Linked DNA regions of Sus scrofa. The protein of the gene in region 1 interacts with the protein of each later gene in a pairwise test. Links are inferred from orthologs where the notes say so. Each region holds a gene or a part of one and is shown on either strand. Other genes may lie near its edges.

Region 1 (4,375 bases):
GCAGGGCCGGTGCACGGCAGTGGGGCCGGCGGAGGGGACTCCATGGCACAGTCCCCGCTGGGAGCCCAGGGACTGGGCATCTCAACGTCGGGGCAGCCGGGCTCACTGGCCACAGGCTGCAGGGAAGGCTGGAAGCGGATCTGCTGGCGGATGCCCTCTCGCCGCGCGTGGAAGTCCTCGATCTCGGCCACAATGGCCTCCTTGATGCGCTCCCGGGTGAGGGCTTCACGGTCAAAGGCAAAGTCAAAGGGCGGGGCACAGTCGGGCTCGTCATCCGGGTCGTGGTACTTGGCCAGGAAGGGGTGACGGAGGGCGGCAGCGGCTGAGATGCGGGCACTGGGCTCAAAACGCAGCATGTGGCCCAGAAGGGAGAGGGCCTGGCGGTCGGCCCCCGGGTACACGGTCTCCCAGGGCACGGGCTGGCGAGGCGGCAGGCTCTGGATGTAGGCCCGCACCCGCTCCGCCCCCACGGCCTGAATCACGGCCGGCGACGGGGTGCCCAGCACCATCATGATCAGCTGCAGCTGGTGCACGTAGTTTTTGCCCGGGAAGAGCTGGCGCCGGGCCAGCATCTCCCCAAAGATGCAGCCCACGGACCACAGGTCGATGGCCTGCGTGTACTCGTGCAGCGAGAGCATGAGCTCGGGGGCGCGGTACCAGCGCGTGGCCACGTACTCGGTCATGAAGTACTGGTGCTCCGCGGGCGAGGTGCACAGGCCGCGGGCCATGCCAAAGTCCCCGATCTTCAGCTCGCAGTTCTCATTCACCAGCAGGTTGGACGGCTTGAGGTCGCGGTGGATGACCTGAGCCGAGTGCATGTACTTGAGGCCCCGCAGCAGCTGGTACAGGAAGTAGCGCACGTGCTCCAGCGTCAGCGGCTGCGAGGAGTGGATGATCTGGTGCAGGTCGCTCTCCATCAGGTCCAGGACCACGTAGCTGAGGGCAGGGGAGAGGCGGGGGGCGGGGGGTCCTGGTGACGCTCCAGCCCCATCCTCACCCAGCTCTCCCAGCTCCAGACGGGTCGGGGCCTAACTCTCAGATGCTGTAGGCGCCACCCAGGTGGTGTGAAGATTCTAGATGTCCTACAACTTTCCATGAACTTAAGGGAAACTACTAGTGTCGCCACCAGAGAAAAGGTGGGCTTGGGCTAAACCCGCCTGGCCAATAGGTTTTGTCGGGGGAGGTCTGGTAGTGGCTCATGGAAGACGGTGATGGAGACGGGAGGGGCTTCCGTAGTCTGTGATTGATTAGTGATGTCTGCTAGGGGAGCAGCCATGGTAGACACGGAATGCGGGGCTTCCCTCTGCCAGCCCGCGCGTTGCCATCCTACGCAGCTACCTCACGCTCTTCCGGAGGAATCTCGGGTGGCCCCGGCAAAACCCCAAGGGAGCCCTGGTCTTGGGATGGTGGGAGGTTGCCCAGCCTGCCTTGCACAAGGTCCAGAACTTGAGCGCTATGGCCCCAGCCTTCCGAAAAGGTGCCCGCTCTGCCTCCCGCCGCCCCTCCTTACACAGACTTGAACTCGCCGTAGGGCACGGTGGGCCTCAGGATGTCCTTGATGGCGATGATGTTGTCGTGCTTGAAGTGCTTGAGGATCTTCAGCTCCCGGAGGGTCCGCTTGGCGTTGGTCACCACGTCAAAAGCGTTAGGGATCTTCTTGATGGCCACCTGCTGGCCTGGGGCGCAGGGAAAGCGGATGCCCTGAGGGACCTTGGCGGAGCTCGGAGTGGCGCGCGGCCCCTTTCACCCCCTCCCTTCTAAGACGCAGGGACAACAGCTTCCCTGCACCGAGCGCCTACTGTGTGCCCGGTCCTGGGCTCAGCACAGCACCTGCACCACCAGCTGCCCCTCCTCCTCTCCCCGGCAGGTGCTCAGAGCCCACGAAGACACGTGGAGCCGGGGCTCCCTGCGGGCGGCGCTGCCAGCCGGCGAGGGGTAGAGTCTAGACTCCAACGCCGTGCTAGCGCCCTGCTCGGCCCATCTCTGCCCCCAGCTATGGCACCGCCAACCGCCTGCGCCAGCCTCGGCTCCGGAACACGTTCCGGGAAATCTGCACCCTGGTCTCACCCGGACGCTCGACTTTCTGAGGAGGACGCGAACCGATGCGCTGGCACCCACCGCGCCGGGGCTGCAGAGACCTGGGCCCTGCACAAGCGGGCACCGGGCGCCTGGCCCCCAGTGTGCACACCCCGGCCCGCCCGCCGGCGCTCACCCGTGAGGCGGCGGCGCGCGGAAGACACCACCCCGTAGGCCCCGTTGCCGATGGTCTCGATGATCTCGTACTCGTCCCCCACGTCGAAGGTCACGTCGAAGGAGCGGGCCTTCAGCAGAGCCAGGTTCTTGGCCGCCACGGAGGCGGCGGGGCCGGCGGGTTCCGCCTTCACCGGCCCGGGGGGCTCCCCGGAGCCGTCCTCGCCGTCTTCCTCCTTCAGGGGCTCGGCCATGGCGTCTGCGCGGAAACGCTGGGGAAGAGGGGCCCGCCGCCGGGCTCAGGGGCCCCGCACCCGGCCGGCCCGAGCGAGCGATGCGCGCAGCCCGCGTCCCCCACCGCGCGCGCGGGCCCCGGGCTCAGGTCCGCGCGGGGCGCGGGGTCGGCGGTGGGGGAGGTGCCGCGAGGCGCGGTCCAGGAAGAAAGCGAGGGGCGGGGCGCCCGCTCTTCTCGGGCCGCGCTCGGCGCCCGGCGCCTCACCCCGACGCCGCCCGAGCCCTGGAGGTCGCGGGCCCCCGCCTCCTGGGGTCCCCGGCCTCCCGGCCCCCGGTCGGGGTGGGGGACCCGAAGACCCTCCCGCTCCCTAGACCGCCGCCTCCACCACCACCTCAGCGGCGCGCATTCTGCCGGGCCGGTCCCCGCCCCGCCCCCCGAGACCACGCCTCCGCAGGCTCTGGCCAATCCCTGGATGGCCTCGGCGGAGGCACCCACCCCTTCCACTGGCTGAGCCCAATCCGGGCCCCCCTGCCGAGGAAGCCCCGCCTCCACCAGCGCGCGCACCGCCGGCCAGTCCGCTGGCGGGAGCCGCCCAGCAGGCACTCGGCGCTCCACAGGGGCGCTGCGGCCTGGCGCCGGCCTCGCACGCATGCGCGCTGGCAGCCCCGGGCGCCGCGAGACTGGGAGGCACCGCCCCCCGCGCGCGCGCTCCCCACGGGCAGGGGCATCTGCGCCCAGCTGCCGCGGCTGGTCCCGGGAGCTTGGGGGGATGAGGTGGCCGGATGCCACCCTGGCGGCCGCATCGGGACGTCCTCCTCCTTTAGGCGCCTCTTCCCTTGTCAGCCCCTACCTACCACCCCTGGGGTTACGTCCTCCGTTTCCCCGATGGGTCCCGGGAACCCAACGCTGGGAATCTGTCATCCCAGGTAGCCGGTGGTCGGCCACATCCCACCAGAGATCCCGGTCCTCCGGTGGCTGGTCCTCTCCGCTCAGCTTCCGGCGGCCCGGGGCCTCGGCCTCGGGCGCGACCCCTCCGCAGGGTGGCTGGGTGCAGCGACTCCCGCGCCGAGGCTGCGGGGCAGCAGACAGGCCCGCAGGGTCAGCTGTGCCCGGAGAGGGCAGGGCGGGGCCCGAGCCGATGCGGCGCCCCAGGCCGCAGGGGACCCGATGGCTGGCTGTGTGACCGTCCCGTCTGATCCGGGAATAAAGCAGAAAGTATCAGAAGAGGTTGACAAACTGTGAATCGTTCAAGTGCTTCCTCTGCATGTTTTAGCTGGGATGGGTAGACAAGTTACAGGCATTCTCTGGCAACAACTCCGTTTCTCACTCACTTTTGAATGCGCCATGAGCTGCTTTACTTCCACCGTGACTCCGTCCTGGAAAAGCCATCAATCACCTTTTTTTTTTTTTCTTTTAGCCACGCCTGAGGCATGCGGAAGTTCCCAGGCCAGGGATCAAACCCAAGCTACATCAGTGACAACATTGGATCCTTAACCCGCTGAGACACCAGGGAACTCCAAAGTCATCAGTTAACCAACATTCTTCAGCCTTGCCTTATGAGCTCGCTGCATCTGACAACTGACTACTTTGAGAAAAAGTTGTTTCACATGGCTCAAAACTCAAACAATACTCAAGTGAAAAAAATCTTGGTCTCTCTCCCTCTTTTTTTTTTTTTTTTTTTTTTTTTTTGCTATCTCAGGGCCGCACCCGTGGCATATGGAGGTTCCCAGGCTAGGGGTCCAATGGGAGCTGTAGCCACCAGCTTACACCACAGTCACAGCAACGCAGGATCCGAGCCACCTCTGTGGCCTACACCATAGCTCAGGACAATGCCGGGTCCTTAACCCACTGAGTAAGACCAGGGATAGAACCTGCAACTTCATGGTTCCTAGTCAGATTCGTTAACCACTGCACCATGACGGGAACTCCATTAATATACATTCTTATCCA
Region 2 (4,332 bases), on another chromosome or scaffold:
GAGCCTGGACCTACATCTTCCCTTGCTCCAACTCTCCTCTTCAATGTCTGTCCCAGAGGATGCCTGGACCTGAAGTTAGAGGAGCTGAAGTCCTTTGTCCTACCCTCCTGGATGGTTGAGAAGATGCGAAAGTACATGGAGACACTACGGACAGAGAACGAGCACCGCGCTGTTGAAGCACCTCCACAGACCTGAAGCCAGGTCCCCTGGCTACACTTGGCAGCCCTCCTTTAAGGCCCTCTTACCCACATGGCTGAGGTCACTGCTGGGACTGCTTCTAGATGGATCTCAGCAGCATTAAGCTATGCCTGGGCTAGTTTGTAGTGACTCACTGCAGAGCACCCCCAGACTGGCATGTGGTTCTATATTTGTAAAGTTTTTGGGATAAGAAGCAATTAAACAGTTTGTAATAAACACAGATGGTGAGCCTGCTGTGAAGTCTGCCTCTGGGGGCTGACAAAATATCAAGGGCTCTCCCTAGAGGAAGTGGGTGTAGGGAATAAAGGCCCAAGCACCCCTCCCCCATCCCAGGAAGCCCAGTGGCCTGTGCGTATCTGCTCCGTGAGAAACTGGGAACAGCCTGTACCTTGCTGCCAGCCTTTCCTGTCCCTGTTTATCTCCTCACCCAACTAAGGCATGGGAGTAGCAGAATGTGACGGCTGGGATCATGGACATTTGATGACAAACCAGCAGGAAAATGTAAGGCGGCTTTTATTACCCCCGTTTTAAGGTTAAAACACGAAATTAAGTGCCTAGGGTAGCACAGGAAGCCGTTGGAGAGGCCACCGTTGAACCTGTTTTCCAGTAGGGGGTCTCTGGCTCTGGCCCTCGGCCACTAGTTTTTACCCTCGCCTGACGGTTCAGACCCTTAAGGCCCTAACCAAAGTGCCCAGGACATTAATAACAAGTGGAGGAGCTGGGGTATCCGGTTTGGGGGATAAGTACCAGGGCCCCGAAATCGGAGACCCTCCCTTCTGCGAGCAGGGAGTCCTAAGCCGGCGTGCGGTAGTAGCCAAGGGATTCATCCCACGTGGATGTCTTCTAGGCCATTTAATGGTCGGCGTTTTCCAAAGGCCACCAATCCACTACAGATTCGTTAGTTAATGACAGCCTCTCTTACCAATCGCCCATCTGAAGAGGGATCCAGCCGCCCAATAGTGGTGCGCTGGTGGGTGGATGCAGCAGTGACAGAGCGCCCCATTGGCTGGATTAAACCCAAGCGAGCCACTGATTGGCCGGCACCTCCGGAGGGTTACAATTCAAACGCGGGCGGGCGGGACCGCGGCCCTGCAGTTGCAGCCGTGGTCTCCGGATACCCTGAGATCCTGTCTCCCTCCCAGCGCTGCCCAGATGGCTTCCCAGAACCGCGACCCAGCCGCCGCCAGTTTCGCGGCCGCCCGTAAAGGAGCCGAGCCCAGCGGGGGTGCCGCTCGGGGCCCCGTGGGCAAGAGGTGAGTGGTGCCGAGGGAACACTTGCCGGGCCTGGCACGCCCTAGGCATTTGAAGCCCAGAGCAAAGACTTCCGGGGACCCCCACATTCTCCTGGAGCAGCTGAGGTATGAGAGGTAGAGGTACACGCCAGGAGATCGCCTACTTCTGAAGGACGACAGAAGGGGTAGGGATGCTGCCAGGATCCTCCGTGGATGAGCCAAGATGAAGATGCCCTGGGGACCCTCTGTGGCTTGGCTGGAGGGCGGCGGGGAAGGGGGCTAGAAGGTGAGAAATTGAGATCCTGCACAGAGAGAGACGCCAGAGAAGCAGAATTAGGGGTTAAGAATAAGCCAGAGCTCTCCTTCCGGGAGCCTGGCATTAGGAAGGGTGTGGACTCACTAAGACCCCCCTGTGGAAATGGGGGTGACCATGCCCACAGCTAAGTCCGACCTCAGGGTAGAGGGAAACCTCCGTGACAGCTGCTCCAGAGAGATTGGGATGGGAAGAGATGCACCTCCTGGAGCCCTGGACTCTCAGATGACCCCCAGATGCTCTTTTCACAGGCTACAGCAGGAACTGATGACCCTCATGGTAAGTGACTGGTGCCCGGATACCCAACCAGTTGGTCTCCCCTCCCACCTCCCAGTCACTTATCAGTAGCCTCCTTTCCTAGCTCCGGCTCTTTGATAGGCATGGGGTAAAAAGATGAGTCCAGCTTGCTCTCCTCTGGGAAGAAGTTAACACACCCCACCTACACATCTTCCCCCCAGGCATCTTTACTCCCAGTCCCATCTTGCCACAAAGAAGTTATCCTTAAAGTACAGCTCTCTTACGAGGCCTTCCCTCTGTCCTTCCTGGCTCTACTTCCCTGTCCTAAAATTTACCTACACCCAACTCTTCATCCTAAATATTTCTAATCCCATCCTACCTTGGAATGCTTCCTTCGGGCCAGTCTTTTCTACATTAACCCTGGATATTCAACTCAAATCCTTCAGTGCCCACGCTGTTTATCTTCCCAGCCTGTGAATAGTCTCTGGGCTTTGTGTCCAACCAGCACTCAATGGCATGTCAAATTGAATTCCCAGCAACCAGCAAAATTGTGGATACAAAGCTGCCTTCTTCTTCCCCCACACAACCCCTCCCTCTTAGGCTGGTGATAAACCTAATCCCAGTCCTCCCGGGGGGCACATTCAGCCCCCAGGATCTCCCCACTTCCTCAGAAGAGCCTATCAATCAATTTGGCCTGGTTGCTCCATTCTGGGTCCAGATGTGATGAGGTTAAGGGGCAGGGGCTCCCTCACCCACACCCTCCCCTGCAAGAGCACACTCACTCTTCAGCCCAGCAAGTGTTGTGTTTCTTCCCCAGATGTCTGGCGACAAAGGAATTTCTGCCTTCCCTGAGTCAGACAACCTTTTCAAATGGGTGGGGACCATCCATGGAGCAGCCGGCACAGTAAGTGTAGGGGTCGGAGTAGGTGAGGGTGACTCTGCAGAGTCTGGGGAGAGGTGGGAGGTGAAATCCAGGTGCCAGTTCTGCGTTGAGTCTTCTCACCTGGTGGGACACTCCCCTGTGTCTTCCTGGAGCCCTGAGCCTGTGGCCCTGCTCTCCATCCGCGCAGTAAGGCGGGGTCTCCATCTTAGCTACTTCCAGGGGCCAGACGGCAAGGAAAAGAATGAAGGGCAATTGAGGGTTTAGGCCAGTGGGCCCTCGCCCAAAGGGTCGCAATGTCCCACCAGCTAGGCGGGAAGGCACCACCAGTTTAATGCTTTGTCTTCTGCCGAGTCCCAGACAAACTCGGGGGTCTTGACAAGCCCCTTACGTGGGGCCTGAGCTGGAACTGAGGCTCAGGCAAAGAGGCTTACTCCCCAGTCTCTCTCTCTCCAGGTATATGAAGACCTGAGGTATAAGCTCTCTCTGGAGTTCCCCAGCGGCTACCCTTACAACGCGCCCACAGTGAAGTTCCTCACGCCCTGCTACCACCCCAACGTGGACACCCAAGGAAACATCTGCCTGGACATCCTGAAAGACAAGTGGTCCGCCCTGTATGACGTCAGGACCATCCTGCTCTCCATCCAGAGCCTGCTCGGAGGTGACTGCGGAGACGGCCTCTCCCCCCCAACCTGGGAGCCTGTTCCCGGGTTGGACAGCCTCTTCTAGCCTCTTCTACCCCGACCTGACCTTGCTCTTTGTCTCCATCCACAGAACCCAACATCGATAGCCCTCTGAACACACATGCCGCCGAGCTCTGGAAAAACCCCACAGGTGGGTCCTTCATCCTTCTCAGGCACCGAGCCATCCCTCCCCAACCATCAAAGGCTCCCCCCAGCTACTGAAGGATTCCAGTGACTTGGGAATGTGTCTGGATGACTGGGGGGTGGGGGGGGTTCAACCAGGTAACCCAGTTCCACCTCTGCCTTGGTGTTTCTGGTTTGCCTGTTTGCTATAAAATCAGAATTTGTCGCATTCATGTAGGTTGAGGGGCTTTTTCAGTAGAAGGCAAAGCTTTGTGCGAACAACTTGCTTGCTGAGGGCCCCAAGTCTCCTCCCCAGCTGGGTGGGCAGCCGGGGGACAGTTCTGTTGGGCTGGGAAACCCTTCCCCAACCCCCCAAACTCCTCCCACAGCTGTATCCTTGCTGCCCTCTTGCCAACCTTAACCCTTGTGCCCATGGCTTACTGAGACCTCCTCGTTCTCTTCCAGCCTTTAAGAAGTACCTGCAGGAAACCTACTCCAAGCAGGTCTCCAGCCAGGAGCCCTGACCCAGGCTGTCCAGCTCTCTCCCTGTGTTGTCTTTTTTTATTATTTTTCCTTAGATGGTCTGTCCTTTCCTTGATTTCTGTACAGGACTCTGTACCTTATCTGTGTATACCTTATCTGTGCTGTCATTTTTGTTTCTGTTTT

The links.
Region 2: the proteins of MAPK7 (region 1) and UBE2C interact in binary tests that used the Homo sapiens proteins (3 or more experiments, as listed by UniProt). The two-hybrid records come from large-scale screens. The link is inferred for Sus scrofa from reciprocal best matches to the Homo sapiens genes MAPK7 and UBE2C.

Annotation. Positions count from the first base shown.
Region 1 is NC_010454.4:60,145,925-60,150,299, forward strand, and holds the start of MAPK7 (mitogen-activated protein kinase 7), read right to left. Parts: upstream 2,820-4,375; 5' UTR 2,445-2,819; coding exon 2,213-2,444; intron 1,677-2,212; coding exon 1,511-1,676; intron 937-1,510; coding exon 1-936. UniProt on the Homo sapiens protein: Plays a role in various cellular processes such as proliferation, differentiation and cell survival. The upstream activator of MAPK7 is the MAPK kinase MAP2K5.
Region 2 is NC_010459.5:48,017,139-48,021,470, forward strand, and holds the start of UBE2C (ubiquitin-conjugating enzyme E2 C), read left to right. Parts: upstream 1-1,264; 5' UTR 1,265-1,350; coding exon 1,351-1,451; intron 1,452-1,994; coding exon 1,995-2,022; intron 2,023-2,797; coding exon 2,798-2,884; intron 2,885-3,316; coding exon 3,317-3,521; intron 3,522-3,634; coding exon 3,635-3,694; intron 3,695-4,131; coding exon 4,132-4,190; 3' UTR 4,191-4,332. Other genes in the region: DNTTIP1 (deoxynucleotidyltransferase terminal-interacting protein 1), read left to right, coding at 57-195. UniProt on the Homo sapiens protein: Accepts ubiquitin from the E1 complex and catalyzes its covalent attachment to other proteins. In vitro catalyzes 'Lys-11'- and 'Lys-48'-linked polyubiquitination.